Arabidopsis thaliana: one gene and its partners. The protein of the gene in region 3 purifies or fractionates together with the protein of the main gene of each other region. This does not show direct contact. Each region holds a gene or a part of one and is shown on either strand. Other genes may lie near its edges.

What was found.
Region 1: the proteins of AT5G45410 (region 3) and PSAE-2 purify together in Arabidopsis thaliana (affinity purification with mass spectrometry, with the first as the bait; one large-scale study listed by BioGRID). This does not show direct contact.
Region 2: the proteins of AT5G45410 (region 3) and AT2G44530 purify together in Arabidopsis thaliana (affinity purification with mass spectrometry, with the first as the bait; one large-scale study listed by BioGRID). This does not show direct contact.
Region 4: the proteins of AT5G45410 (region 3) and AT3G10860 purify together in Arabidopsis thaliana (affinity purification with mass spectrometry, with the first as the bait; one large-scale study listed by BioGRID). This does not show direct contact.

What each region holds. Positions count from the first base shown.
Region 1 is NC_003071.7:8,733,178-8,740,193, forward strand, and holds PSAE-2 (photosystem I subunit E-2), read left to right. Parts: upstream 1-3,556; 5' UTR 3,557-3,602; coding exon 3,603-3,869; intron 3,870-4,219; coding exon 4,220-4,285; intron 4,286-4,362; coding exon 4,363-4,467; 3' UTR 4,468-4,590; downstream 4,591-7,016. Other genes in the region: AT2G20250 (uncharacterized protein), read right to left, coding at 739-986, 1,066-1,891, 1,969-2,026, 2,103-2,208, 2,302-2,388, 2,531-2,653, 2,742-2,888, 2,981-3,058 and 1 more; AT2G20270 (Thioredoxin superfamily protein), read right to left, coding at 4,824-4,900, 5,065-5,091, 5,251-5,406, 5,970-6,043, 6,154-6,440; AT2G20280 (Zinc finger C-x8-C-x5-C-x3-H type family protein), read right to left, coding at 6,877-7,016.
Region 2 is NC_003071.7:18,379,774-18,388,365, forward strand, and holds AT2G44530 (Phosphoribosyltransferase family protein), read left to right. Parts: upstream 1-3,741; 5' UTR 3,742-3,958; coding exon 3,959-4,054; intron 4,055-4,188; coding exon 4,189-4,365; intron 4,366-4,592; coding exon 4,593-4,841; intron 4,842-5,111; coding exon 5,112-5,255; intron 5,256-5,362; coding exon 5,363-5,530; intron 5,531-5,601; coding exon 5,602-5,671; intron 5,672-5,751; coding exon 5,752-5,833; intron 5,834-5,922; coding exon 5,923-6,082; intron 6,083-6,162; coding exon 6,163-6,201; 3' UTR 6,202-6,435; downstream 6,436-8,592. Other genes in the region: COX10 (cytochrome c oxidase 10), read left to right, coding at 1-206, 294-426, 576-713, 814-947, 1,069-1,194, 1,425-1,528, 1,618-1,958; AT2G44525 (NADH dehydrogenase ubiquinone 1 alpha subcomplex assembly factor-like protein (DUF498/DUF598)), read left to right, coding at 2,357-2,529, 2,686-2,802, 3,087-3,121, 3,263-3,363, 3,461-3,547; GH9B9 (glycosyl hydrolase 9B9), read right to left, coding at 6,568-6,885, 6,997-7,278, 7,365-8,018, 8,116-8,337.
Region 3 is NC_003076.8:18,399,233-18,407,185, reverse strand, and holds AT5G45410 (zinc finger B-box protein), read left to right. Parts: upstream 1-3,238; 5' UTR 3,239-3,444; exon of another isoform or gene 3,445-3,691; intron 3,692-3,882; 5' UTR 3,883-3,903; coding exon 3,904-4,017; intron 4,018-4,110; coding exon 4,111-4,389; intron 4,390-4,479; coding exon 4,480-5,115; 3' UTR 5,116-5,278; downstream 5,279-7,953. Other genes in the region: maMYB (Duplicated homeodomain-like superfamily protein), read left to right, coding at 589-1,518; RPA70C (Replication factor-A protein 1-like protein), read right to left, coding at 5,542-7,810, 7,904-7,953.
Region 4 is NC_003074.8:3,394,029-3,401,426, forward strand, and holds AT3G10860 (Cytochrome b-c1 complex, subunit 8 protein), read left to right. Parts: upstream 1-5,546; 5' UTR 5,547-5,786; coding exon 5,787-5,956; intron 5,957-6,437; coding exon 6,438-6,486; 3' UTR 6,487-6,727; intron 6,728-6,783; 3' UTR 6,784-6,898; downstream 6,899-7,398. Other genes in the region: AT3G10845 (RNA-binding (RRM/RBD/RNP motifs) family protein), read left to right, coding at 1-14, 100-173, 248-319, 404-454, 818-906, 1,103-1,160, 1,287-1,336, 1,420-1,537 and 9 more; GLY2 (Metallo-hydrolase/oxidoreductase superfamily protein), read right to left, coding at 3,728-3,802, 3,924-4,100, 4,203-4,316, 4,463-4,541, 4,662-4,823, 5,229-5,351, 5,448-5,494; MES17 (methyl esterase 17), read right to left, coding at 7,200-7,398. UniProt on the Arabidopsis thaliana protein: Component of the ubiquinol-cytochrome c oxidoreductase, a multisubunit transmembrane complex that is part of the mitochondrial electron transport chain which drives oxidative phosphorylation.

The DNA of each region.
Region 1 (7,016 bases), on a different chromosome or scaffold from region 3:
TTGGATCAGTTTTGCAACAGCAAGAAACATATTAAACTGGAGAATTTTATGTTGCAGAGGCTTTAGAAGTTTTATTTTAGGAATCCGAAGCTTCTTGTTTGTGAATATGCATTGTGATCATCTTAATCTAAAGAATTTTTGTCAAATTGTGTAAGCCAAGTAAATATTGTCTCATAAATTAGTCCTTTCGAAAAATCACTTCCGGATACAACTTTAAACACTACAATTTTTCAGCTGACCATACACACAAAAGAATTCATAATTACAAAATTTATTGGGGAGAGACTCAAAGTAATGATAATTGATGTGAAATAAAGTACCATCAAATTAATATGATTAGGGGGAAGCAATTATGAAAGAACCAACCATATATATCTGCATTTACATATTACATTCCTTCCATTATTCATTTTTTTTTTAAATTCCACCTTTCTCAATCTGGTTAGTGATTTTTTTTTTAAATGAGTTCCAACTACTTTGGTAGTTGAGAAGAGTCTAAGAGGTTCATCAAAAAACAGAGAACAGAAACAAAGAAATCGTCAAGAATGGTGACCAATTACTAATGTCCCCATGAATAACTTTGGTATAAAGATTCTTTTAACATCTCAACCATATAATCAGTCTATGTCGGTTTGAATCATATCATTCATCTATCTTCTTCAATCAATTCATCAGTAATGTAGTTCGGACAAGATCTAAAATCATCGATACCTATGTCTTCTAACATAAATGTGTTACTTAAAGGAATGCAGAACAACGACATGCCACACAATCTTCAAAAATCAGTGTGAGTAAGTAAGAGTGATGCTGACCTGTGGCAACCAATCGGTTCGAGTAGTTCTTCTTTTGCTGCCTTAAGCTCATAGCCATTCTATGAATCAATCCAAACTTGAGGTGACTGAAACTGAAAGGGGATCCAATCATGAGACTTAAAACGATTACTCGTTGTAGGACTTGACGCTTCCAACAAATTTGAATTGCTGATGCTGGAAAATGGAAAGGATACTATGTCACATCCAGGGACTTTAAAAGGACAATGATCCACTAGAGAGTTTGAAAGATTACGATAATATGTGTAATCTCTGGTTAAACAATCTGAGCTGTTTGTGTGATGAAATGTCTGGAGCTCTTGGTTTGCAGCAACCACGTCTTCGTCATCAATAATATACCTCTCGAGTTCATCATGCTCAAAATGGCTGGCTTGGTTCGTTGTTGGTAAGAGGAAACTGCCTGAAATGGAATGAGAGAGCAGAGGTAAAGGGTACAGCTCCCTTGTAACCAAATCATGGGATGAAGAATAGTCAGAGCACCATGGATTGTCTGTCAAAGATGAGGATGATGCATTTGGATACGTGATGAGTCTTGTGTGATAACTAAGTGGAAAATCATCTGTCTTTCTGGTGCTTGCGGTTTCAGTATTCCACTCGAGAAGTAATGCAGATGAAGGCTCTCTATGTTCGTGTGATAAGTCCTCTGTGCTGTATCCAATTTCTCCTCTGTGATAATCCATTGAAAAAGGCTTGTAGTTTCTGAAATGGAGGCTAGATATGGGAGAACACTCCAAATTTTCTTCAACAGGAAACGACAGGAACTCCTTCTGTTTCAACAGTGGAGGTCGATAAACTGATTCCTTAGGATATAAGATGGGAAAGCTAATCTCTTCGGAATCTCTTGGGATGAAACTGCTCTGAACGTGAGGATACTGCAGCCTCGGGGTAATGTTATTTTCCAGCCATCCCTGCCAAGATATCAATCTCTCCCTTTCCATATGCAGACTGTGGTCAACTTCTGCATAGCTTTCATGGGACCTCTTAAGAAACTTTGAGCCAGGAGATTCAACAAACGTTCTTCTTTTGACTCTGGCCGTCGTCTCCTTGGAAAACCTAGAAGGCTGAGAAGGAAAAAAAAGTGCTGAGGATTGATCAAGATAAGCAATTGACAAATACTCAGGGATTCTATCAAGCTTACCTGTGTCTCCTCCGTACCAGGGGACAGCCGAGTTAGGAGAACAGAAACTAAATCATGCCTGAAAAATGATTATTTTCTGAGTGCATTATAGAAACAAGTATTAAGATTAGGATAAATTAACAACTATTGTGTACCCGTTTGAGGTAAGCTCAGGGATTTCAGTAAGCCATGTATCTTTGACCCACTGATGCAGTTTCTTTCTCTTCACAGAGAATATATCTCCTTTCTCTTCACTGATTCCTGATAATTCAAACTACAAAATCATATCTCTTAATTGTTAACTAGTATCTTTTGCTTCTTTGATATGTAAGAAGTAGAATATCCAACATCTACCTCCACTTTCAGATCTCAGATTGTCACCACTTGGAACTGTGTACCTATCTCTACTGAATGATGAAGAAGATCTCCCATTACATTTTCCTATAAACAACAGAAATCAGAAGAATGTTTATGGATCACTACTTCCAAAATACCAGTAAGAGATTCTACAGAAGTATCCGGATAAGAGACACGAGATCTTATCATGTGGCACAAACATGCACCAAGAAATCGAAGTAGCAACCTCTATCCCTTTGAGTCAAGTTGGCATGTAACATAGACGACCCACGTCTGGCACTATGAATGGGTGTGGAGAAGCTATAGCTCTTGGATCTACCATTATCGTCGCAGTCCGTTCCTGCACATCCTGGTTTATGAAACAGTATAGATGAAAATCCAGGGGAAAGCCAAGCAAACACTATCATCATCATCATCACAAAGAAAAGCTCAAAAACCTTTGTCTGGTTTGGCTCTGGATTCGAAGGTTTTAGGAATTTGTTGAACTTTATTTGATGGTTTAGAATCAGAAGATTCAGAGCAGTGACCAAAATTAGACTTTAACTTCTTAAAGAATGCAAACTCAGAGGTCTTGGCATCAATCGCTGCAAATAACCAATACCAGGCGATTTTCAATCAAATTCAACATTCTAAGAAACTCTACGCTTATTCACGTGAAGTAGACGCGAACACTTACATCCTCCGGCCTGAGATTCGTTCAAGGGACTCCGATGATCAGCATCGTCGAAACTCACCCTTCTCCTGCGTTTCAAATCTAAACCACCAGAAGGAAACAAAATTAAAACACACACACAAACTCACGGAAATCGAAATATATGTTGTAAGATACCTGAATTTGCTCGAGCGCTCGAAGGATCAGTAAACTTGAATCCGATTTGTGGATCGGTCTTATTTAGGGTTTCGCCAGCTTTCGTTCGCTGATTCCTTCTTCTCATCACCGAGTATCTGAATTCGTTCTACAGAATCGTGGATCAAACGCTGTTATAATCACGAAGGCGATGAAGAATGAGAGATTTCACATCACGCGTCCATGGCGATTCATAAGAATTTGAAATCGGAGAAGATGAGAAATGAATTTTGGCGGCAAAATCAATCAACCCTTATTACAGATTCTTTGCTCTAATTATATATTTCATTTTCTAAGGTTGCCACGTCATCACATTATCCAGACGATACTGATATGTGATCACACGTGTCATATCACAAGTGGTTTAAAACGATTCCTTTTAACCCCAAACAATCTAAAGCTTTGTCCACCTTTTCGGATCACTCACACAACTTCCAACGATCACACACAAATGGCGATGACGTCAGCAGCTACCGGATTTATTCTCACGGCCAACGTCCCGGCGGCAATAGGCGGTGGTTCTTCAAAGAGCACCACCATTGTGTCTTTCTTGCCGATGAGAAGCTTCGGTTCAAGGCTAGTAGTCAGAGCGGCGGAAGATACACCTCCGGCAACCGCCTCGTCGGATAGTTCTTCCACCACCGCTGCTGCTGCTCCGGCGAAAGTTCCGGCCGCTAAGGCTAAACCTCCTCCAATTGGCCCAAAGAGAGGATCCAAGGTACTTATTCATACATAATCTTTGATGCATGTTTATACTTCAAAATTTTGAGTTTATTGATGATAGCCAAGTTTGGATTACAATAAAGTTTCTGGACTATTTAGAATAATTTTGTAAGTATGGGGTCAATGTGAAACTTATATGAAGTTTTTGGACCTCTAGATCAGGATTAAAAGGAACTAACCCTTGTGGTAGAAGAAAATTCAAGCTTAATTAGATGCTAGTAGAGAAGATTGGACTAATATTTGAGCTAAACTGGGTATCATCAATAAGTTCTGGGTCTATTTAGTATACATATTAAGAGTTATAGGGCTACTGTGAAATTTATAAACAATTTTGAGGACTTACAGGTCAAGATTCTAAGGAAAGAATCATACTGGTACAAGAACGTTGGATCAGTTGTGGCCGTTGATCAGGTAATGCATTTACTTTTGAAGTTAACGATCTAACGGTTAGATATCGTTTCATCTTATATTCCGGTCTAAATTGTCAGGACCCGAAGACCCGATATCCGGTTGTGGTCCGGTTCGCCAAGGTGAATTACGCGAATATATCGACCAACAACTACGCATTGGACGAGGTGGAAGAAGTAAAATGAGAGACATGGTTTATCTCTAAACCGGTTCGTCTGTTTGTAATCTTAAACAAAACCGTATGTACCAAAAAGTTAACCAACAATTCATCTTTTATCTTTTACAATCTCAAGATCGATTTCCAAATATGCATTTAGCCACCCAAAAATGATTGCAAATTCCAAGTAGTGTGGATCAAACTCAGCAACTCCGGTTTAGTAACAGAACCCAGCATGACTCATTGACTGTTTTTTGTACGTAGAAAGAAACACAAGATTCTTATTGAAAATCTCTATATAGACAGTAAATTCAAACAGCAAATCATCTCGACTTCAATAAGGAAACATGAAGAATCACCAACCAGTTTCATCTCTAGAAATCTCTAGGTCTGACCGTTTTTTCCATTGGCTTCAGCTAAAATTGCTTCCAGCTCTCCTTTATTGTGCAGCTGCAATGTATCTGTTCAACAATAATGATATGCAGGTCAAGTTACCAGAAAAATCACAAGACATTGAGCAAGATCTTGAGTACTATCTATCTTGGTGCCAAAATACACAAAGACGATCTCAATTACATATTAGAAAAATCTCGGTGTTGAGGTAAGAAAGGAAGAGAGATTGTACCTGAGCAGCCACCAATGTGCTTGCCTCCTGGTCATGAACAAAAACATGATATCAAAATTAGATAAGTGATGGTCATAGCAAATGTAGTGGCTAAGATTTTATCGATAGTTTTGTTTTCAGGCAAAATAATCAAGAAAAATGATCAGAGTATAGTTAGTAACTGGCTTAAATGATGAAACAACTAACCGATGAAAACATTGGGAACAGTGTATTGTCCAGTAATTTTCTCCAACACATTCTGCAGCTGCGACCCTTCTGAACCTGGAAACGCCAAAAACCACCAAAACTTTTGTAAATGTTTCAGACCAATATCATGAGGCAGAGATGTTTTACCCAAAGAAACTAAACAAGACAAGAAAGAACAAATGGTTTTGGAAAGTCACCAAATCTTGACACGAGAAAAGATAACTAAGAAGATAGCAACATAATAGTTTCTAACAAATAGAAGCATACTGTCTAAGATTCAAAGGCAGGAAAGAATCTTCAATTTGAAAAATTTAAGCCATTAGAAGTACTAGCCTACCCGTTGATTCTTCATCAACAAGTCATTGGTCCAAGGAAAACTACAGTGGAAGTAAATTTTTCACATAAACAAGACACAGAATCTCTGAAATGTAAAGCTATCTTAGGCCATTAGAAACCCCCCTAACCATCATCAATCCTCCATCAAAATCTAATCAAAAAACATACAAACCAATTCAAGCAAGCAGCCAAATGAACCAGAAGATAAACAAGAAGAAGTTGGAAACAAGTATTAATTTCATCCAGTCAAAATGCTGAAACATTAGGGCACTTGTAACCAGCTCTTCCTTGATCGATATAAACAATATCACACACATTATCAAAACCAATATAGCAAACTACTCAGACCCATATAGCAAACCAAAGTAAAGAATTGAGCATACCAAGTTGATCCAATTCAACAACCAGTGGCTCAACTTGAAGACTCTTGAACAAGGACTTCACTTGAGACGAGTATCTTCACCACCAAAAAGAACAAACCCAGTAAAAGTATCAATATTGACAAACTAGATCATAAATTAACAAAACCCATTCCTCTAATTGAACCAAAAAGTATAGTGAACCTACGAGCACCAGGTTTTGGAGTAAACAACGACAGGGTTCTCTGCCACAGTCGTTTTAACAGTCTCCTCCAATGTCGATCCAGACGAAGACGATGATGAAGACATAGCCTTAACAGAAGAACAACGGAGTGGTGGCCACGACGCGATTCCGATAACTGTCGGCTTTAGACATCTCCTGAAAGGTAACATGCCCAAGTTTCTGATTCCGCTTAACATGGAGAAAGAGATTGCTGGATTTGAATTTAACGACGTCCATGTCATGTTCGCGAGGTTTACTGTTGCGGCTACCATGGCGATTTCTTCTTCCGACGAAATTGGATGCTTTTCTTATTTTTGCCCTCAGATTAATTTACCTCTTTTTATATCGCCGATATTTTTTGTTCTTTATTTATAAATATCAATAAAACAACTAAATATTCATAAGAATTGATTAAAATTCTTTGTTTTTAATACATTTCTGTAGTTTTTATTTTCTCTAGTAAGTTTACGACCTTTTATTTACACATCATGATAAAATTAACAACAACAAAGAAAGATGAAAATGATTGGACAAAAAAGATACTACTAGTTCTTTGATGAGGCCATTTAAGACTGTAAAACAGTAACAGAAATTATTCAACACCCCAAAATGGGGTTTGTGTCTGCAAAATCCAATCTATTGAAAGTACACAAAAACAAAACATGTGCTTTCTCTCCTCCACCTCTTCCTCTTAGACCATTTTTCATTTCAAGATGACCCTTCGTCGTTTGGCTCACGAATCTGGATCGATGTTTTCGACAAGCTTGCTTCCAATTCATCCAGCTCATCCATGTCTAGGTCATCATCATCATCATCGTCATCTTCTTCTTCTTCATTGACTTCTTTCG
Region 2 (8,592 bases), on a different chromosome or scaffold from region 3:
TCCCAGCCTCCGGTCTCGACGGAATCAACTGCTAAGTTAGGGATCACTGGTGTTAGATCTGATGCCAATCGAGTTTTTGCCACTGCTACTGCCGCCGCTACAGCTACAGCTACCACCGGTGAGATTTCGTCTAGAGTTGCGGCTTTGGCTGGATTAGGGCATCACTACGCTCGTTGTTATTGGGAGCTTTCTAAAGCTAAACTTAGGTATGTGTTTACTTTTCTTTTCTCATGAAAAATCTGAAAATTTCCAATTGTTGGATTCTTAAATTCTCATTTGTTTTATGGTTGTAGTATGCTTGTGGTTGCAACTTCTGGAACTGGGTATATTCTGGGTACGGGAAATGCTGCAATTAGCTTCCCGGGGCTTTGTTACACATGTGCAGGAACCATGATGATTGCTGCATCTGCTAATTCCTTGAATCAGGTCATTGAAATGTTGAGAAGTTCATAAATTTCGAATCCTTGTTGTGTTTATGTAGTTGATCTTGCTTGCTTATGTTTATGTAGTTGAAAAGTTTAAAAATTTCTAATCCTTGGTAGTTGATCTCGCTTGTTTGTTTTTTCATTTTCTAGATTTTTGAGATAAGCAATGATTCTAAGATGAAAAGAACGATGCTAAGGCCATTGCCTTCAGGACGTATTAGTGTTCCACACGCTGTTGCATGGGCTACTATTGCTGGTGCTTCTGGTGCTTGTTTGTTGGCCAGCAAGGTGAATGTTTGTTTTTTTATATGTGATTTCTTTGTTTTATGAATGGGTGATTGAGAGATTATGGATCTAAACTTTTGCTTCCACGACAAGGTTATTGCAGACTAATATGTTGGCTGCTGGACTTGCATCTGCCAATCTTGTACTTTATGCGTTTGTTTATACTCCGTTGAAGCAACTTCACCCTATCAATACATGGGTTGGCGCTGTTGTTGGTGCTATCCCACCCTTGCTTGGGTAAATTTTTGTTCCTTTTCTTCTTTATTTTAGCAGATTCTGTTTTGTTGGATACTGCTTTTAATTCAAAATGTAGTCATGGTTCACCAATTCTATGCTTATCTATTTTGTGTGTTGTCAGGTGGGCGGCAGCGTCTGGTCAGATTTCATACAATTCGATGATTCTTCCAGCTGCTCTTTACTTTTGGCAGATACCTCATTTTATGGCCCTTGCACATCTCTGCCGCAATGATTATGCAGCTGGAGGGTAAGACCATATGGTGTCATATGAGATTAGAATGTCTCCTTCCATGTAGTGTTGATCTTGAACTAGTTCAATTTCGTGGAATGATCAGAGTGTCCTAGATAGTGTCACAGCAGTCGACATTTTAGTGGCTAGATAATGAGTTCTTTCCGTTAGAGATAAACATTCGCGAACATTGTTTCCAGCTTCCGCGACCCAACTTCTGATTTTGTTTCTTGGTACCTTGTTTTCAGTTACAAGATGTTGTCACTCTTTGATCCGTCAGGGAAGAGAATAGCAGCAGTGGCTCTAAGGAACTGCTTTTACATGATCCCTCTCGGTTTCATCGCCTATGACTGTGAGTCTTGTAGATTCATCTTTTTTTTGTAGTTTATTGACTGCATTGCTGTATCTGATTTTTGCTGTTCCTTCCAATTTTTGTGACAGGGGGGTTAACCTCAAGTTGGTTTTGCCTCGAATCAACACTTCTCACACTAGCAATCGCTGCAACAGCATTTTCATTCTACCGAGACCGGACCATGCATAAAGCAAGGAAAATGTTCCATGCCAGTCTTCTCTTCCTTCCTGTTTTCATGTCTGGTCTTCTTCTACACCGTGTCTCTAATGATAATCAGCAACAACTCGTAGAAGAAGCCGGATTAACAAATTCTGTATCTGGTGAAGTCAAAACTCAGAGGCGAAAGAAACGTGTGGCTCAACCTCCGGTGGCTTATGCCTCTGCTGCACCGTTTCCTTTCCTCCCAGCTCCTTCCTTCTACTCTCCATGATAACCTTTAAGCAAGCTATTGAATTTTTGGAAACAGAAATTAAAAAAAAAATCTGAAAAGTTCTTAAGTTTAATCTTTGGTTAATAATGAAGTGGAGAACGCATACAAGTTTATGTATTTTTTCTCATCTCCACATAATTGTATTTTTTCTCTAAGTATGTTTCAAATGATACAAAATACATACTTTATCAATTATCTGATCAAATTGATGAATTTTTGAGCTTTGACGTGTTAGGTCTATCTAATAAACGTAGTAACGAATTTGGTTTTGGAAATGAAATCCGATAACCGATGATGGTGTAGAGTTAAACGATTAAACCGGGTTGGTTAAAGGTCTCGAGTCTCGACGGCTGCGGAAATCGGAAAATCACGATTGAGGACTTTGAGCTGCCACGAAGATGGCGATGAGGTTGAAATCAATGGCGACTTTGCCGAAATTGATTCAAAGTATGAGAAAAGAAGTTCCGAAGCATTCTAATCCTGTTTTGCCCTCTCTGAGACGAGCTTTTTCCCTCTATGATCAGATCAATCTCATTGACAATGTTCCTGAAGACCAGCTTCGCTTCCAAGAGTAATCAATTCCAAGCTTTCTCTATTGTTTTTCGTCGTTGATTTTGTTTTTTACCGACTGTGTTTCTGGGTTTGATTTAATGAATGATTAGGGTTTTTGGAATTGGAAATGTATAAATATGTGGTGGTTGATTGATTCTCTTCACTTACTTTGCAGATTTAATGATACGAGTTTCACTGTGAATGGAGTCAAATACGAAGGTAGCTTACTCTGTGTTGGGAATCTGTTAATGTCATGGAGTCCTCGTAAATTTTCAGAGATCACCACTGATAGGTATCTTCTCTCTTCTCAGGCCTTTGATTCTCACCAATGTTCTGTCACAACCTTATATCGATTTGAGCTGATTTTTATGACTGTGTTTGAGTGAAAGTTGTGTGCTTTTGGCAATAGATTGGTTGAAGGTTTTCAATGTTCATTGTCATGAGAGGATTTGACAGCTTTATCAATTTGAAGTGTTTGATAAAACATTTGGTTTATTTTCGACAAGTGTTCTTTTTTTTTTTTGTCATTGAGAGCAATGGCTAAACGTTTGTATATTTCTATTTCCATGGATGCAGCTTGTCTATCTTCCAGACAGTTCGACCTATTCCAGGTAATAATATTTGTGTACCCATGAGTCATCAGTATGAAAATAAAACTGTATTAGTACCTCTGGTTGATTAACTTTTGCTGCATATTAGCTTCAATCTCAGCTCTTATTAGATATTCTAAACTAAATCATCGAATTGTCCAGAGCTCTTGATTGTTGGTTGTGGAAGAGACATTCACCCGGTAACTCCCGAGGTCCGTCAGTTTGTCAAGTCCCTTGGCATGAAACTAGAAACAGTTGATTCTGTAAGTTTCTTAATCCATTTCTACAGGCTTCTTTTCTAGTCCCAAGCTTACTTCATAACTTCTTATTCGCTTATTATATTGATTACTTTTAATTCAGAGAAATGCTGCATCAACGTACAACATTCTGAATGAAGAAGGAAGAGTCGTTGCTGCGGCATTGCTTCCATATGGAGTTACATCCTAAAGAAAACTAACAACTCGAGCTCTGGCTTTCTAAACTGTAAATGGTTTTTGAGACCTTCCGAAAATAAACCGAATTTCATCGGAGTTTTTATTGCGTTTGAGCTATATAACAAACGTTGTAACATGGTGCGACTTTATCTCGCATTTCTCATCCTTCCAAAGATATAATATCTCCAGAGACTATGTTGTATCAATGAATGAGATTTAAAGAATCTGAATTACAGTTATATTTTTAACGGAAATCGTTACGGTTAGTTAAAAACTTAGAAATGAGTTTTTGAGTATATAAAGGAAGAAGAAGAAGAGAGAGTCATTTTCTTGTAGTCAAATTCGTATCTCGCGGGGAAGAAGAAGAAAAGACTGCTTTTTCTCAAAACCCTAAAATCTCTCTCTCCGGATCCATTTCTCGAACATGGCGTCTATTGTTCAACCATCGCCTACTTTCCCGGCGCTAAATCTCCGGCGTTCTTCTCTGATTCGTCCGCCTTCTTCCGTTCGATTTCCTCTTGTAAGTCTCATCTACTTCTCTCACTCTCTCCGACTATTATCTTTCTATTGGTATTTGTACTTTATACGGTCTTCTTCGCTCGAATCTGATGAATCTTGTTCTCGATTGTTTCTGTTGGTTGTGGAATTGAAAAGAAGTGTAACGCGGCGGATCCGTACAAGTTCGACGGCGGAAACTCTGCCGGTTTCCATCTGCTTACTGGCGACACCGTTCCGGCTAGCTTTTCGAGGACACGTTTGGAAGATTCGATTTATCAGAACACCACACGACTTCGTATCTTTTCCGGCACTGCTAATCCTATTTTGGCTCAGGTTCGTTCTTAGCTTTGTTAGTCGTTGGAGTTCTTTGGATTTAATTGCAAGAATTAGTAGCTTGGAACTGAAATTAGTTTAGGAAGAAACTGATATAGACTTCGGAATTAGTAGCTTAAAACTGGAGATTTGTTCAATTGCAAAGATTAGGATTAGGAAGAAATTGGTTTAGAGTATATTCTGGAATCGTCTTGTTTGTTCATTGGTGTTTTACGCTGATGATACAGGAGATTTCTTGCTATTTGGGTCTGGACCTTGGGAAAATCAAGATTAAACGCTTTGCTGATGGTGAGATCTATGTTCAGCTACAAGAGAGTGTAAGGGGATGTGATGTGTTCCTTGTACAGCCTACATGCCCACCTGCAAATGAAAACCTTATGGAATTGCTCGTTATGATTGATGCTTGTCGGAGAGCATCAGCCAAAACTATCACGGCTGTGATTCCTTACTTTGGTTATGCACGAGCTGATAGAAAGGCAAGTCTTTTTCTATAACTATAGAATCTGTCTTGGATTCAATCGTCCTGTGAAAACATGCACAATGATTTGTCTCCAAGAGTAATCGATTGTCAGTTTAAGTCAGATCTATGGTAGTTAGTATTTGGAAGTAATCAAGTAATCAAATTGGCAGCTTAGTTATCTGTATGAAGCTGATTTGGGTTTATCGATTGTCTCATTCCTCTGGCTTCACTTAGTTTCTAGTTGAGAGTTTTTCATTTGACTCTTTCGTTGTACATATTCTTGCAGACTCAAGGACGTGAATCTATTGCAGCCAAGCTTGTGGCCAATTTGATTACACAGTCTGGTGCAGACCGTGTCCTTGCTTGTGATCTTCACTCCGGACAGTCTATGGGCTACTTTGATATTCCAGTCGATCATGTTTATGGCCAGGTAGAAAAAAGTTTTTCTTAAATGACTCCTCTGAGCATCAAGTTCCTTTTTGTGAAAATAGACTTTCTTATGTCTTCTTTTCCTTGTGCTTTAATATTCATGAACAGCCTGTCATACTTGATTACCTAGCAAGTAAGGCCATATCCTCTGAAGATTTGGTGGTAGTTTCACCTGATGTTGGTGGCGTCGCAAGAGCTCGCGCTTTTGCGAAGAAGTTATCTGATGCACCTTTAGCAATAGTTGATAAAAGACGTCATGGGCACAATGTTGCAGAGGTAGAAAAACCTTTGGAAAATACATTTTAACCAAGTCTGGATTTTGACATTTAACAACCCGTTTCATGTAGGTGATGAACTTAATTGGGGATGTTAAAGGGAAAGTAGCCATAATGGTGGATGACATGATTGACACAGCAGGTGAGTAATAAGTCACGGTCTGCATATCTGTAAACATTCCCCATTGTGCTTAGATACTTACGTTAGGTATATCATATCAGGAACCATAAGCAAAGGTGCGGCTCTGTTACACCAAGAAGGAGCAAGAGAAGTATACGCTTGTACCACTCATGCCGTTTTTAGGTAAGTCCATGAAATATTTTCTCTGTGTTGGAATTATAAAAAAAGAGAAAGAAGCTGACATATGCATTTGTGTCTATATTCGGAAACAGCCCTCCTGCAATCAGTCGACTATCGAGCGGACTGTTTCAAGAGGTGATCATAACCAACACGATTCCATTGTCAGAGAAGAACTATTTTCCTCAGCTTACAGTTCTCTCAGTAGCAAACCTTCTTGGGGAGACCATATGGCGTGTTCATGATGATTGCTCGGTGAGTAAAACATAAACACTACTTGCAATTTTCGCTTGAAGAGAACTTCTGTGTCTAATAAAGTTTTTTGATATTCTCAGGGAGCCATTGAGCCATTTTCGACGTTGGGGATTGATTGAGTGATGGAAAAAGGGTAAAGAATGTACTTATAGCCTCTCAGTAGTATGAATTTCTGATAATGTACAAACTCTTTTCCGCTGTAAAAATGTTAGACTTGAGTGTGATTGTCAAGAAGGGAACACTTTTGTAGAGAAGAAGATTTAATGGAACCACGTTTTCAAACTTTTTAAGAATACAATATTTTTTTTTTCGTCAATTTGGATCCAATCATGTAGATAGTTTACCGTTGAAGATTATTTATTTGTGAAATATCTGGATTTTATTTTATTTTATTTAAAGCCAAGTTACATTTAGACCTTAAACCTATGACTTATATAAGATATAAAGCAAACATACTCAAATTTGCAAAACGAGGAGAGACAAAATTAAAAAACGGCGGCCAAGACACCAACAAACGGAGCAACAGTAACCGTCGCAGGCTCAGCTTGCTGGAAATTACTCCTCTCATCTCCATAAACATCGTTCTCGTTGGGTCCTCCGACAAGTGCTCCCATTAAAACGTTAGGGTTTGGTGCAGGATTGTTATACCATTTATCATACCCTCCACTACACGTCACTGGTGTTTTGTCCTTTCTGATCGATACTATGGAGGCTGCTCTATGGTGTGGTTTTTTGGGATAATTGGTCCCAACTCCAACCATGTAGCTCATTTTCTGGGGGTTCGACCCAAGTATATAGTCAACCTATATAACATGAGGAAATCGCAAATTAGTATATATTATATTGAAAAAAGTCTTGATATATTTTCAACAACATGTTTTATAGTTGGTACTATATTAGGTTTTATTAACTACCTGGGAACGAGCGATTTGGAGAAGATCAGAAGCTTGAAGAGCACCTTTGGGACATTGGATGGAGGCTTTTGCCTTTGTGAGATACTTAGAATATGCTGAGAGAACGAAAGAAGCGGTTGTGGTGTATTGGAGGTTGTTCCACGGCAAGAAGTAGAGCAAACCGCCAGGGGTTTTCTTAACGTTGTTGGAACCTTTTTGAGCACAGTTGCAGATAAACTGCTCTGCCATACTCTTGTACTCTGCGATCTTTCCATTGCTCCCTACTTTCCGTTCAAGTGCAAGCTGCATTTGCAAAACTTTGTGTTATGTTTGTTTCTTGCCACATAAGATAGTGATATGTTTTCTTTAGTGAAATAGTCATAACTTACCTTGGCCATCAAGACTTGTGCACCCACGAACTTATCGTCCCAGGCAAAAACACTTCTTGGACCTCCGGTACCAGATGCTTGTGTTAGGTAATTGAGATAAATCTGGTCGTTAGTAGCACGGTGGAGCCAAGCTGCAGCCCACAACAACTCATCTTCGTATCCACTACTCGCGTAGAAGCCACCCGCGTTAGTAATGGAGTTTTGGTAAAGGCCAGGGTGAGCCTTAGCGAATGCAAATAAATCTTTTGCATGACCAATGAGTATATTGGCATAGGCTTTATCAAATGGTGCGAAGGCGATAGACGCTGCCGCCATTGCGGCAGCTGTCTCACCTGCTAGGTCAGAACCTGGATGTTGAGCATCGATGCGGTATGAAGTACGCGGAGTGGTCATATCCTCAGGTCTCATCCAGCATTTGTGGTCCGAGTTTCCCTCACCCACTTGTCCGTACAGGACATTAGGCTGAGGATGGGCTTTAATGAGATAATCGGTGGCCCACTTGAGAGCCCTGAGCGAGTTTCCTTGCTCGTGGTGGGCCCTAAGCTCTGATCCCATCTCTATGTTGCTCCAAGCTAGCATCGTCGTAGTGAACGCTAAAGGAAATCCAAACTTCATATTGTCTCCGGCATCGTAATACCCTCCGGTGAGATCAATCTATTTTTACAATTAGCAAACAGTTTACTTCAAGTAATAAATATTCATTACACAAAAAAATATGGAATAAAAATAAGTAATTGGATATTAAACTTACATGAGCATCAGAACCATCTTTGAGTGCAGAATCTCCTCTCCATGTAACTTTTTGGTTCGGAGGCAATTTTCCAGAACGTTGAGCTTCAAAATACAAAAGACTCTTTTGGAGAGCTTCTGCATAATTTGTAGAAACAGCTCCACGAGCCATCGACATTACTAGTACCACAATGCAAATACTTGTCCATAAGCATTGTGAAGATCCGTTTTTCGATTGAGACATCTTTTTTTGATAAATCTTTAGACGATCTCAAGACCAATTGTACAATAGATTTTACTTTTTGCTTGTGTTTTGGATGTCTATGTCTATGTATGTATTCACTATTTATAGAGAATCTATAAATGATGGAGTCCATGGCTAGTAAAGGACTTGCTCAAAAAAAAAATTAGCTAAAAATGTTGTAATCTGTTATTCAACTAAGAATTAAGAATTTTAGAAGACTTTGGTTTTTCTTTAATATCTCATGTTATTCAAATA
Region 3 (7,953 bases):
TTCTCTAGCCTTTGCCTAATATATTCTCCGCTTTCCATTCCAAGTTGTAACAGGTGATAAATGGTTTCCTTGACTTTTCGTACAAGTTTATATATTTTCGTAATAGTGAATTATTGTTTCCTTCCCTTTTTTCTGGCTCCTAAAATTTCCATTTTTCCGTCAACAATATTTTCATTTTATAATATAGTTGCAATATAAAACTAACCAATAAATCGACGTTAAAAAAAAAAAATGTCGTACACAAACGTGTGATTTCTCTGCAATTGCTTCGTTGTTGAACAGAAAGGCTCAAGAGCATGATTAGTGGCACAATCTTCTCTGAGTCCTACTATCTCTATCTGCGATCTCGAGTGTACACGCTTTCCACTAAAATTTAATTAATTAAGGGTTTGCTTACTCTAAAATTAACTAATTAAAATTCGTATAACCAATTTTGTCATATGCTAAATTTTAATATATATGGGCTTTACAATACCCAAAAATCTTCGTATATGGACTTTCAAAAGCCCAAAAACACTTATTTCTGAGATTTTTTTTTCTAAGTTTTATTTATTGTTTCAGCTTCTTCTACAGTGCAACAGAGCAACAATGGATTTTTTCGACGAAGACAGGCCTAGATTCGTTTTCCAATCTCGTCCTTCTTCTTCTCACACGGCGGAGGAAGAAGAAGAAGCTAGAATCCCTAACAAGCTTTTCATTTCAATCTCCGTCTCAATCTCCCTCATCATATTATCTCTCTCCTTCTTCTACTTCGAATCTGAACCTGCCAAATCGCTACTATTATGGCTTTCCCTCTCTTTCCTCGTCGGTCCTTTCGCTCCTAGCTCGCTCACCGGAGGTAAGATTCGCGTCGGTTATGGTCAGATCTTGGAGCCAGAACAGATTCACGATGAGTCATCCACGGATAACGAACGTGAATCCAGGAGGAAATCGGTGAATAAGCGATCTAAAGGTTCGACGAAGAGCGATAATCCGCCGGAAAATGCTTCTGCGGTGACTGAAGTTTCGAGGAAAGTGGTGATTCCGCAGTCTAAGGAGAGTGGATCTGTGAATGAAACTAAAGATTGGACTGCTGAAGAGATCGAGATTTTGAAGAAGCAGTTGATTAAGCATCCAGCTGGTAAACCTGGGAGATGGGAGACGGTGGCTTCAGCGTTCGGAGGAAGATACAAGACAGAGAATGTGATTAAGAAGGCGAAAGAGATAGGTGAGAAGAAAATCTATGAGAGTGATGATTACGCTCAGTTTTTAAAGAATAGGAAAGCTTCAGATCCTAGATTGGTTGATGAAAACGAAGAGAATTCTGGAGCTGGTGGAGATGCGGAAGGTACTAAGGAGATTTGGAGTAATGGAGAAGACATTGCATTGCTCAATGCTTTAAAAGCTTTTCCTAAGGAGGCAGCTATGAGATGGGAGAAGATTGCAGCTGCAGTACCTGGGAAGTCGAAAGCAGCTTGTATGAAGAGAGTTACTGAGCTTAAAAAAGGGTTTCGGAGCTCGAAAACTCCAGCTAATTAACTAGAGGTAATTGATAAACTAGAGTCTTTTGATTGAAAAAGATACTCTTTATTAAGGTAATAAACATGCCACAAGAGCCTTATTCCATTGTAGTTGCTACAACTTTGCTGTATAAGCTTCCTAGGCTTGTTGATATCTCCATTAGTGTGAGTTACACTGAAGATGTTGATTTTTAATCTGGAGAGATTGAGTTGATGAAATGCTGACAATGTATTCTTATGCTGATGTTTTATAGGTTACTTATGAATTAGGTCGCATAACATTATAGGTAAAAAAATTACTGTCTAGAATTGAGAAGGAGATCTTTTGAAAACAGTTAGAGTAAGCTTCTAAGTTGTAACTCTAGTTATCCTACTTATAGAGTCCTGGCTCATGTTCTTGATGTTGGGGTGGCTTGCTTTTTGATCCATGAATGGTTCTATGATTAATCGTTGGTAAAAGTGTGCTGAGCCACTGTGTTTTCCATGTTTCTCAAGTTTAGAATGGAATGAAATGGTTGAACAGAATAATGCCAAAGCCCAAAGGCATACTTTAATTGGTTTGTTAAGCTTAGTACGGAGCATTATAAATTTAATATGGAAAGATTATGTTGATGAAATGCTGATAACATATTCTTTAGCTGATGTTTTATAAGTTACTTATGAATTAGGTTGCTAGTTGCTGAGAGGTCTCGTTTGAGAACAGCTAGGGGAAAGACTCTTGAGGCATATTTTCCATGTTTCTTATATGTCATGTCAAACCCCATCGGTTTTCATGAATGCTTTATGCTAGTTTCCTGCAGCTTCTTTGCTGTCTTTTATATTTGCTAGTTGCTGGTCAAATTTGGTAATGCAATGCTTTGAACAGAATAATGAAAAAGGCATGTTTGGCTAGGAGAAAGATGGCGTCAACTTGACATAGAACTGGTTTAGGTTTATAATACTGGTAATGGTGTCTATCCCTAGTAGAGTTTAATTGGTATAAATTTCCCCCTGTTGCTGAATGATCGGTTCACAAACTACTATAAAATCTTGGAGTCCTCTGTCATGTTAGATTCGATCTTAGGGAAAGTAATATGTCTGCATTTCATGATTTTCTATCTTATTTTGGTAGTCCTTTGAGATGTGCAAAAGAAACCAAATGTATGCTCAAGTATGTGATCAAATAGAGCTATACTCACAAGTTGACATTTACAGAATCGAGTCAAAATAGTCTAAAACTGCTCTAATTTATGTTTACACAATCTTTTACTGACATAAACCTTTTGACGCAGGACATCTGTACGGGATTAAGGCAAATACCAGGAGAGGAAAAACAATTTTGTGTTTGCTGCTTGAGATTATTGCTACAACGCCCAAAGTAGTGAATAGAGTTCTGCAGGAAGTTTCTTTTAGAGAGAAGAAAAGAAAGCATCTCAATATGCCAAAGAATTTAACATAAAGTTATGAGTTCTTCTTTACTTCAAGCTTTGATTCGAATTACAAGACTTGAGCATCTGTGTATCCCCTCCCCAAAGAGCACCTATTTTATTACTAGGGAAATATATAAAAAGACTATATATATTCTTAATCCAAAATTCCAAACTAGAATTTTCATATAATATTCTTAACATTTTTATCACTACAAGTCTTCAACAACAACCGCAAAAGCTACCCCACTAAATCTCAACCGTTGGATCAGATAATTAGTGACGATAAACGGCATGCGATCCATTATTATCCAACACCAAATAGTCTTCGTGGTTCAGTTTCTCCACCGAACACAACCACGTGCTACATTACAGAGTCAACTAAACCGGAAATCACCGGTTTTATAAAAAAGAGTTTCACGGGTTTACCGACTAAACCGGTAACTCTCAATAGAAACTCAAAGCACGTCTGTGTTCACCACACGTTTTATCAAAAGTCTAAGCTACTCTGCAATTCATTTGCCGGCGAAAATTCTCAGGTGATTGATTCTCTCTTTGTTTTTTTCTGATTTATCATATCGATTCTTCATAAAACTGGCATGTATTCGAAAAAGATCTCTTCTCTAGGTTTCACATGATTCAATTTTTTCATTCTATAACAAAATAGATCTTGCGATGCAGATTTTCTGCTGAGTTTTTCATACGAAATTGTTGCGGGATCTCTATTTTCCATTCGAGTTTAGGGTTTCATGGCGGAATTTGATTCATAGTACGTTTAAGTTTAGGGTAATTTTTTTTTTTTGGTTTTTTTTTTTTGCCGAATCCTAAAATTTTCAGAAAATGAAGCTCAAAGCTTGTTTTCGGTTTGATTCGAATGTTGATTTCGATTTTTTATTCTTTGATTTCATCTTGGATTTGTTTATTCTTGAATCAAGTTTTGAGATTTATTCGTTTGATCATCAATTTCAATCTCTCAGGATCATTTGCTCAGCTAAAAAATGGATCAAGAGTGTCCCTTTGCTGCCGAAAGCATAATCCAGAAATGCCCTTTCCTGAGAAACATCAACAAGCCTACCAATTTGTCCTTCTCCTCCTTGAGTTTTCCAATTCCGGTAAGAATTTCTTACCTTTTCGGTTAAAAAAACTATAAATTTTTATGCTATTTGATTCTCTGGTGATGAAGTTTATGTTTCCTTGGATAATAGGTGCAAGGAGGTAAAGGTCCTATTTTTGAAGATGGTCCTGGATTTGATTCAGCATTCAAGCTCTTCCATGGGAAAGATGGTATTGTGCCGCTTTCTGGTTTCGCTGATGATTCTGAAGATGAGGCGGGTCGTCGTGCTCTGCAATTCAATCCACTTGCTGGTAAGGTAGCTACAATAAGCCTATCAGCTTTTGGTCCTGGAGGCCCTTTTGGTTTTGGTCCTTTCTCAGAGAAATGGAAGAAACAACAGAAGAAACCTAAACCTTCCAAAAACCAACAGGTAGGATTTGATAGATTGTGTAAAACTTTAGAATTTTACAAGGAGTTACTGTTTCTGATATCTTTTTGCTTGATTGCTTGCTTATTGTAGTCTGGGGACTCTTCGAAACATGAGGCAGTTGGAGACGAATGGTTAAAAACCGGGAATTGTCCTATCGCCAAGTCTTTTAGAGCTGCAAGCAAAGTCATGCCTCTTATTTCTAAAGCATTAACGCTACCACCTGGTATGAAATATAGATGTCCAGCTCCTATAGTAGCTGCTAGAGCTGCACTTTCGAAGACTGCTTTGGTCAAAAGTCTTCGCCCTCAGCCTTTACCTGAAAAGATGCTTGCAATCGCTCTCATGGGAATGGCTGCAAATGTGCCTCTAGGTGTATGGAGAGAACACACAAAGAAGTTTTCGCCTGCATGGTTTTTGGCTGTCCATGCTGCTGTGCCTTTTATAGCAATGCTTAGGAAATCTGTTCTGATGCCCAAAACAGCCATGGCTTTGACCATTGGAGCTTCGATCTTGGGACAGGTGATTGGGTCAAGAGCTGAGCGTTACCGTCTCAAAGCAGTAGCTGAGAAAATGGTTCCTGTAACCGCTATGGTTTCTGGATACAACCAGAGCCCTGGCGACTCAGGCATTTCTGGGGGACATTGTGGTATAGGGGAGGGAGTGAAGCAGGTTTATTACAATGTAAATATTGGAGAGTCTGCTAAATCAACTGGACTCTGTTATTGAGAGAATGTTCTTATTGATTTCAGAAACTACAAATTACTATGTAAGGATTGGATATTTGTGTGTGAGGGAAGGTTTTTGTAATTCAGTGAATTGTGTAAACCATAACAATGGTGTCGTTTTATCCCTTCAAAATGGGTCTAAATAAAAGGTTAATAATTCCCTCTTTAACCTCTCTTACAATTCAAAAGAAAGTTATTGACTTTACTTCAATCAGAAAACTTAACCTCATCTAGTAATAAAGAGAGTTATACAAAGAAAACAAAAACACAAAAAAAAAAAAAAATAGAAAACAGAAACACTAAAAGACCCACGAAAAATGGAACTGAAGCATCCTAATGTTGTAGATAAGTAAAAACTTAAGACGGTCAAAACAGCATCTGACCATTGTTGATGATAATGATGAGGTGAAATAGTCACTTAAGTTTTTCAGTAGCTGCCTACATGTTGCCTTGGCATACCTCCTCCTGCATTTGTGCCACCCATGTATTGTCCTTGTGGCTCACTCATAAGGGTTGGGCAGTTTGCAGAAACATGGCTGTTGCTGCGACACACGTTGCAGCTAGTAAAACCGCCAAGAGACCTTGCATCACTACTGTACTGATTTCCATATTGACCCACTTGGTTTGCTGCAGGTAATCCAAATTCTCTGCGTGCATCGACTGATGCGGTGTCTCTAGTTCCTGAGGTTCCAACACCGGAATTAAATGCATCAGACCTGTAATTGGAACTCTCTGCCTTTATAGGGAGAGAATTTGCATCTCCTATCTTGAGTTTATCTATTGCCTCTAGCATGAACCTGGTATTTGAAGAATAATTCAGCTTTTCAGCTTTCACAACTGTTGCTTTAACCCGCTGCTCATCGCTGTAAGTTTCTTCTTTAATCTTCAGCTTGAAAATGTACTTAGTAAAAGCGACACTGCGGATGATATCTTCAAATTTCTCCTCATCCTGATTTTCATACTTCACATAATACAAATCTTTTGCAGACATTCCCATTATCTCTTCACCAGCTTCTTGGAATGCAGTTGCCCAGGTTAGGTCTGTATGGTCCTGTAACTGGATCTGTAATATATACCTGTAGTCACATTCATCCACGCATTTGTCACACTTCTCACAACGCCATGTCCCATCTCCGTTATTTGTGACCTTTTTGCTGCATGGACGATCTCCATTCATGATAGGACAAGCCGTATAGCAGAAATTTTCAACCTTCATGAATGAAATGGTGGCACAGACTGTGATCCAGTCCGGCTTCTCTGAGGTCCCTAGCTTCTCGTCCTTGATCTGTGCAATTACCTTGCGAACTTCTTGTCTGCCAACACCGGAAAACTCTCTAGATATGGAGGTAAAATGAGCATTCCTTCCTTCTCTCTCATACCATTGCCTTAATTCTCTGGCTTCAGGGAAATCTGGCTCTATAAAGAATTGACTTGCTCCAATTGTGCTCACTTGCTTCCCGTTGAATTCACCGATCCTGCCCGCTTTCAAAGCAAGAACCGGGAATACCCCAGAATCACAAAGATTTTGCAATTTCTGTCCTTCTGCGTTGCAGAAATTACCCCACATGGTTACCTCAACACTTCGGCCTGACATATCCTTCAACTGAAGAGACCTTTTCTGTACCTCAGTTAAGTTTTTCCGCATAATTGCTACTGTCGGACTGATGGACGAAACAATACCAATTACATCAGTGGTGCTGTTGTTCTCCATGTTTTCAATATCACCTATGTTACGAAAATGGAAATGATAGCGTGGAATGGTACCATCATCTTCACAAGGCTGTATCGTTGATGCAGAGTCCAAATGTATTTCATAATCATTCGGAAGATGATTAAAGTTCTTCTGAGCAGGCTTCAAATTTCCCCTTGAAATCAGATAAACATTACCAACTACAATCTTGTCAAAGAATTGATCAACCGCATCATTAAAACAAGTCACCCGTATTTCTCCACCATCAGCATCAAGAAGATCAAAACTGAACAACTTCCCTTCCCCACGCGGATTATTAAACCGCCTCAGGTCTGCCTTACTCGTGACCCTAACCTTGATGGTCCACCGACCCTGGTAAGGATTAAGAGCAGCAATCGGATTTATCCTCGGAGGAGCTTCGTTCCTAGCCACAGGTCCCCTGTTAACATACATCGGTGGTTGTTGTGGCTGATAAGCTGACTGAACCGGACGGGAATAAGCAGTTGTTGCAGTAGGAGCCCGAGGTTGGTCCTGCCTAGAGCCTCCATAACCTGCATTTGAGCTCACATACGGTCTAGTGGAAGGTGATGTTTCCGGATAACCAGAACCAGTACCATATCTTTGACTAACTTGAGGCTGTCCATATCTCCCAGCGTCGGGACTGTTATGAACAACTTGACGCTGAGGTGAATTAGCCGATACACCATATCTTCCAGCGTCGGAACTGCTATGAACAACTTGAGGCTGAGGTGAATTAGCCGATACACAGTATCTTCCAGCGTCGGAACTGTTATGAACAACTTGAGGTTGAGGCGAATTAGCCGATACACCGTATCTCCCACCATTCACATCACTCCTTCTAGCTTGTTGCTGCTCAGAACCACCATTGCTTTGTGTGTTAACTCCACCACGTTGTGGATTAATCGAGCTATGCCCAGGTTCTTTAGGATTTCCAATTATATTACATTTCTCCACAATAACCTCCAATTGCATAATAACAACAATCCTGTAACTCATCATCATCAGAACTACTTTAAAAATAAAAAAGATTGGTTCTTTAGACAATTATGAATCTAGGGTTAAGAGATTGCAATATTACCTTCGAGTCTGGATGAGATTGCAGATGTAGTGAGTGAGTCTTATAACCGA
Region 4 (7,398 bases), on a different chromosome or scaffold from region 3:
AGTTAATTTATGTGGTTTGTTTTCAGTGGCTCTGAGCTACTATCTACTTGGCTGTTGATTTTATTTCTTTTCTTTTCCATTGATCTGCTCTTCTTTTAGGTAAGAGAAATCCGGAAGATGATGATTTGGAGACCAAACCGTTTCTCAAGAAACATAAGGACGAGGAGAAGAAAGTAACGTCGGATCACTCCACTTTTTTTTTTTAATACATACACCACTTATGTATGTATGTATGTGAATGTAACAGGAGGAGACACCGGAAGGACTTGCTGATAGCCTCCAGCACAAGTCTGATCAAGCTAATTTAATCTCTCTCAAGGTTTAATATTGTAATAAGTTTTATTATGTTCAAATTAAGCATCTTGTTCTCCAAAATCTGTTCCAACGGCTACTCGCTTAACAGGAGGAGGAAAGTACTGTGGAAGGACGTGATGACACTCCCGATTTTGTTGAGGTAGCTACCTCTCCTTATGCAATTTTGTTTTGTCCTTTTCGTCATGCTAACACAAACTTCTGCTTGGCTGTTAAATTCAGGAAGCTTCCGTGATAAAAAAATACGCTCTTTATGGGCCGTATCCCTCACCGAGCCCCATTATCACATATCGTCGCTTTCTTCAAAGATGTTGGAGAAGTTGTTCATGTTCGACTTGCTATAAAACGAGATGGTGGGCGTACTGGCTCTGGCTTTGTTGAGTTTGCTTCTCCCTATGAAACAAAAAAAGTGAGACCAGTTTTTTTTTTCTTTGAAAACTTGTGTATAGTTAGTTATATGTTTAAACGTATCCAAGGTTATTTTCTGACGTTTTTTTCACTCTAGGCACTGGAAAAGAAGGATGGAGAATGTTTGCTCGATCGCAAGATTTATCTTAAAGTGCCTAAGCTAAGCTCTTCATTGACTCTTCCTACGTAAGTAAACATGATTTTTCCACGTTTTGTAACTGATTGCTAGACTTTTTGATACAATATCACAGAAGACTAAGGCTTTTCATTTTTTGATTAATTAGGTATTGCATAGATCACCAGGTTTGGTAAGGGAACAAGACTTTTTTTTGAAGTTTTTTTGTATACATGTAGAGATCACTAGCGTTTTCCATTTTTCTAGGTACCAAGACTTCCTTCCACGACAAGAAGATGAGACACCTCCCGCCGATTTTGCTGAGGTACCACCCTACTGCCCTCATTATCTTCAAAACGCTCGAAATGTTTACTTATTTTCTGGGGCTGAATCTTGCTAGCTACTTTTTCCTTGTTTCCTGCTAACACACTTGTTCCTGTATAATGCACAGGAAGTTCTCTTTGTTGCCAATCTCTCCCCCCAAACTAAGATATTAGATATGTAAGTAGCACTCCCACTTTTCTTCTCTGAGCAAAGAAAAAGTAACTCTCCCATCACTCATATTTTACCCTCCACTTTTGCAGCTTCGGTTTCTGTCAAGATGTTGGAGAAGTTGTTAGTGTTCGACTTATTGCAAACCATGAGGACAAGCCTGTGGGCTGTGCCTTTGTTGAGTTTCTTTCTGCCAACGAAGCAAAGAAGGTGAGACTGGTTTTGTAGTCATGATGGACGATTTTAGTATTTTACTAGTCATTTTGAAAATTAGTGTATACAAACTTATGATGAAAAACATACTACTAGTTTTTTGAAAGCTGGATAGCTGATTAAATCTTTTTAATACTGTAGGTGCTGGAAAACAAGAATGGTGAATATTTTCATGGTCATAAGATCATTTTGATGAGAGGACATGGTGAAACTCCCGATTTCGCTGAGGTACCTCTTCTTGTTGTCTTCACAATATGTCAGGCTCAGCAGAAACCTTTAATAATAATAACAGAAATCTTGTGTTTTTTTTTTGTGCAACCTTAAGTCCTTTTCTTCTTTGCGTCGTGCTAACTCACTTGGCTGTTAAACGCAGGCTGTTGCCACAAGTAAAAAAAAGACGCTCTTTGTTGCCCATCTTACTCCCCAGACTATAATATCAGATATGTAAGTAGCACCTTAAGATTTCCTCTTTCGTTATTGGAGCAAGTTTCTCATGACTAATATTTTATCCTCCACTTTTTTACAGCATCGACTAATTGTTAACCACACTGGCAAGCATGTGGGCAAGGGATTTGTTGAGTTTGCTTCTGCTAAGGAAGCAGAGAATGTGAGAGTTGTTTTTCTAGTAATTGATGAAAAGTAATGTATACAAGTCGCAGTCATTTGATTAGTTAAACCGTTTATTTATACTCTAGGCGCTGGAAAAGAAGAAGGGTGAATATTTGCAGGATGGCGAGATTTTTCTTAAGGCGGCTAACATAGCTCCATTCCCTCCACCCAAGTAAATTAATTTTCCATGTTATGGAGATTTGTTGCTGTCAACTTATTGCCACCACAGAAGACTAACACTAATATTATATTTCTTAACTAGGTGGTGCGTAGATCACAAGGTTTGGTAAGGAATTTTCAACTATTTGCATCTTGAGGGTTTGTTATCAAGAGCACATTGGGTGAAGTTTTTGGTATACATGTAGAGATCACAAGGGTTGTTTAATGTTCCAGGTACGAAGACTACCTTGGACAAGAAAGAGATGAGGCAGCAGTGGAAGGACTTGCTGAAACTCCCTATTTTGTTGAGGTACGCGTGTTGTTATCATCTTCAAAATATGTCAGGCTCAGAGGGGAAATGCTCAAGTGTTTGATAACAAAACTGTTACCTCCTTAGAGCCATGCTAACACACTTGGCTGCTAAATACAGGAAGCAAGAAAAAAGACGCTTTTTGTTACCAATCTCCCTCCTAGAACTAGTATACAAAGGATGTAAGTAGCACCTTTAGTTTACTCTTTCGTTCTTGGAGCAAGTTTTTCATGACTGATGTTTTATCCTCTTCATGTTTACAGGTTGTATTTCTTCCAAGACTTTGAAGTTGTTCGTGTTCGACTTATTGTTGACCAATCGGGTAAGCATATGGGCTGTGGCTATTTTGAGTTTGCTTCTGCTAATGAAGCAGAGAAGGTGAGTAGTTTTTATAGCAATGATGAAAACTAGTGTATACTTACTTATATGATGAAATTGTTTTGATGAAATATTTTTATACTGTAGGCGCTGGAACAGAGGAATGGTAAAAGTTTGCGCTATCACAAAATCTTTCTTGAGCTGGCTGAGATAGCTCCATACCCTCTCCAACACATGTACATTGATTTTCCATGTTATTGCTCTAGTTTTGATGTCATAACAGAAGATTAACGTTATCATTTTTTGTTAATTAGGTACAAGCTTGCAGAGAAGCTTTGGTAAGGGATTTTTTAACTACTATTTTGCCTTTAAGAGATTTTTTGTTATCAAAGGCAAATTCGGTGAAGTTTTTCGTATAAATGGGGAGAGATCACAAGGGTTTTTGATACAATGCAGGTACGAAGACAACCTTCTACGAGAATCGAATCTGAAGCAACAGAAGGCAAAATCCAACGGATTCTGCGGTAAGAAGATTACCTTCTCTTACGGGGACGACTGCTAGAAGATGAAGAAGCTCTCTTTTTACGGGGATTAGTGTAGACACTGAAATTATTATCCATAGTAAACTGAAAATTCAAAAAGGGAGTACGGCTTACAGGTCGGTCTGATTTCGGTTTACCAAACCGGTTCACAGTTTCACACAGAATATCAACATTACTGGTTCATACACCTTTTACAGGATCATTCAACACAAGTACACAAAACATAGGCAAGAAGCTCTCCATTTATCATCATCCCCTCCACTGATCCTTCTTGTTCCGAACTTCCCTCATTGTATCAATTGGCGACTTGCAACCGAGTTTCTCCTGGAAAATAACAAAGTTAATCTCGATATACGACAAGAAAGTAAAGATCGATATCAACAGTGATAGCTGATAAAACCGAATCATGAATTGTTCAAGAAGATGAACCAAATGGAGTAATAACCTGTATCTCTGGCTTATCAACACGCATAAATGGATTTGTTTCGAGCTCTTCCTCCAGTGTTGAAGGGATTGTGGGAAGATCTGCTTGGCGCTGTTGACGGGCCCATGCTAACTTCTGTTGTATCTTCCCGTTGTTTGGTTCCACAGTTAGAGCAAATTCCAAGTTCTTAACGGTGTACTGAGAACCATAAGAAATGAATAGCGGATTATTCAGTTTATAGGCATCCATTTTTATGAGTTAAGAACTCAAAAGACATAATGAAGCTGTTGATTTTTTTACCTCATGGCCGCAGTAAACCTGTGTCGGTTTAGGTAATGCAGCCAGAGTCACACACAACGACTGATACATCTGCTCAGCTGTCCCTTCAAAAAACTTCCCACATCCAGCAACAAACTGTATAAAATCAAAGTAAACACAGCTTAATGTTTAACTCATAACTATCTCCATTTAGACATTTACAGAGATAAAAGATCTACGGAGAACATATAGGGTCCATGGTAGGGAAGAACAAGAGGATTCAGCTTAATGTTACCACTTACAAGTGTATCTCCGGTGAACACGGCTGGGTTTTCTCCTTCTTTTCCGTTCACATAATAACTAATGTGACCCTTGGTGTGACTGTAACAAGTAGATATATCAGAGGAATCAGCGATGACAAGAGAAAATGACTGAGTTAAACATCAAGTAGATTAGATGCATCTAAATTCATTGGAAAAAAAAAAAAAAAAAAAAACAAACCAAGGAGTGTGGAGAGCCAATATGTTAATATCCTGACCCAAAGTCAGCTTGTCACCATTATCAACCGCATCAGTGCAACCCTTCACCTTATCCAGAGAACCTCCATATACTTTGATATCAGGAACCAACTGCTTAATCTTCTCGTTTCCACCGGCATGATCCCTTTGATCATATCAAGCCACCAATCAAACAATGAGTGTTAAAATAAAAACGTCGCCTCAAATCCAAATTTCATCGAAGACAAAGGCAACCATCATATGGTACATATATAATAAATCTTGCATCTTCAAGAGGTGAAACATTAATGCAGAAAGTATCAGACTTTAACAAAGAATCAGACTCACGAAGATGAATCTCTAAGTCAGTTGAAACTGATAGTAGGAAAAAGCTAAACACTTGATCAGAAAACTGAGAGATTTAACAATAGACTTGTACTAATGTTAATGTCTAGGACCGGAATCTAGCATATGTCGATATCACTGAGTAATAAGAACCAACAGAGAATCTCGGAGATGAATCAAATAAGATAAGTTACCAGTGACATAGAGAGAAGTGAGGTTTACTTACCAGTGATGATGCGTAGTGAGTACGAACTTGATCTTAGCTTGGTGCTTCTCAGCCGATGCGATCACCTTCTCCGGATCAACTGGATCCACAACCGCCGCGTCTCCGGTGCTCTCATCGATTATCCTGTTTTTTTTTTACGAAGAAAGAATCCTAAACTGATGATGAACCGAGTCAGATTAAGAAGCAACGAAATTGAAGTAGGATATCAAAATGGCTCACAGATAAGAGTAGTTGTCTTGCAGACAAGGAACGTGGAAGATCTTCATCGTCTCCTTAGATCGATCGTCCTTCTCCTCCGGAACACTAGCTGTATCATCATCATCATTTATGTCTGGACTAGTGATTTATCTATTTCGGTTTACTCAAACCGGATCGAACCGAAACAAATCAGGATAAATTTTGCAGCCGGTCATCCGGTTCAATTGTAATTGTAACTGAACCGGAATCGGATAAAAAACATAAGCTTCGTTGAGAATTGTTTATTTTAGGTTTTGGGGGAGATTCGTTCTCGTACTGTGGATTGTTGTTGTTGGGATTATCTGGGAAGAGAAAAAGAAAATGGGGAAGCAGCCGGTGAAATTGAAGGCGGTGGTTTACGCACTTTCTCCGTTTCAGCAGAAGATCATGACCGGTCTCTGGAAGGATCTGCCGGAGAAGATCCACCACAAGGTCTCTGAGAATTGGATCAGCGCCACTCTTCTCGTTACCCCTGTCGTTGGAACCTACTGGTACTCTATCTCTCTTTCTATCTCTCTCATCAATCGATTGGTAAAGGAACCTTTGGATCGAGTTCCGATCTGGTTGATTGTTCTTCGATCTGTGTCATCGGTCTTGTGCGGCGCATATGGATATAGGGTTCTTCGTTTGTGTCATAGGAACAAATGAGAAATGATAGGATTTAAGTTAGTTTGAGATGAGTATTAAGTGGAGTGTAGTATATAGAGACTCTCAGCTAGAAAAAGTCTTCCAGGTATCAAATTAGTATTGTTGATGAACCACTCTGTGGAATTGCATTTCAAGATGTTGAGGATTTAAATGGCTTAGTCGTAATCATTAGCTGATTAGTGTGGTTCTATTAAAACTGTTGAGTTCTTGCTTGTGAAGCTATTAGTTACCTGATCGATCTAAACATTACGGGTGCTGCATATTATGGTCTAGTTTCTAGTCATCTTTTGTGCTTATTCTTTCAAATACACACAATGAATGCAGGTATGCTCAGTATTTCAAGGAACAGGAGAAGCTTGAGCACAGATTCTGAAGCATGAAGTCACTCCTTTTCTACAAGAACCTGACAGTTTGAAGTAATTTCTTTTGTTTCAAGCCTATAAATTTCACAAAAACTCTTGTGGGAATCTTCTGAGTCAGTTTTTCTGAAACTCTTTTGCTAAATAAATGTTTGGGTTTCATGACAATGACTCTTGTTGTTCATCTTTCTTGATATATGGTATGAAAATTGGATTGAATCGAGTAATATATTGATCCCTCAAAACAACTATTAGGCAAAATCAAACGCTGCCTATGTTCCCTTAAGACATCAACTACAAACAACTATTAGGCAAAATCAAACACTGCAAGTCTGCAACCACTCCTACAAGGTTTGTGATGAACAGAGTCGTTGGTTGGACTAGAAATGTTGTCCATTTCATCAAGTACAGTTCAGCGGAGTCATTCTCTTCGTCTAAGGCTTTTGAGGTAACTGTGAAGTTGGTGTCGATACCGGCTAGGACTTTAAGTAGACCTTGGAAGACTGCAAATTAGTGATTTATATAAAACTACACGATTTGCCGAAATTTATTTCACTTTTGTGACGCAAGATAAAATTAAGCAAAACATAATTTATTTCAAAACGATTAATATAAAATACCAAAATGTCACAAAAATCAAAAATAAATAAACACTCCCTCGACAATACTGATCACTTAACCGGTTTTAAAACCAACAAAAGGCAATCCTTTAGTTCTTTAAATAGTTTTAGATAGAACCGACGGAAACGGCAGCTTTGATGAGTAAACCAAAGAGAACAAAAGGGTTAGAGAAGAAAGGAGAATGGTCGCTCTCCAATTCGTAAACTTGGCTAGGTGGCCACCGTCTTATCATCGCGTCTTGCTGCTCCGGTTTCATGACCCGGTCGAGTAACGTCTTGATGTACACGCGCGGCACTTGCTCCTCT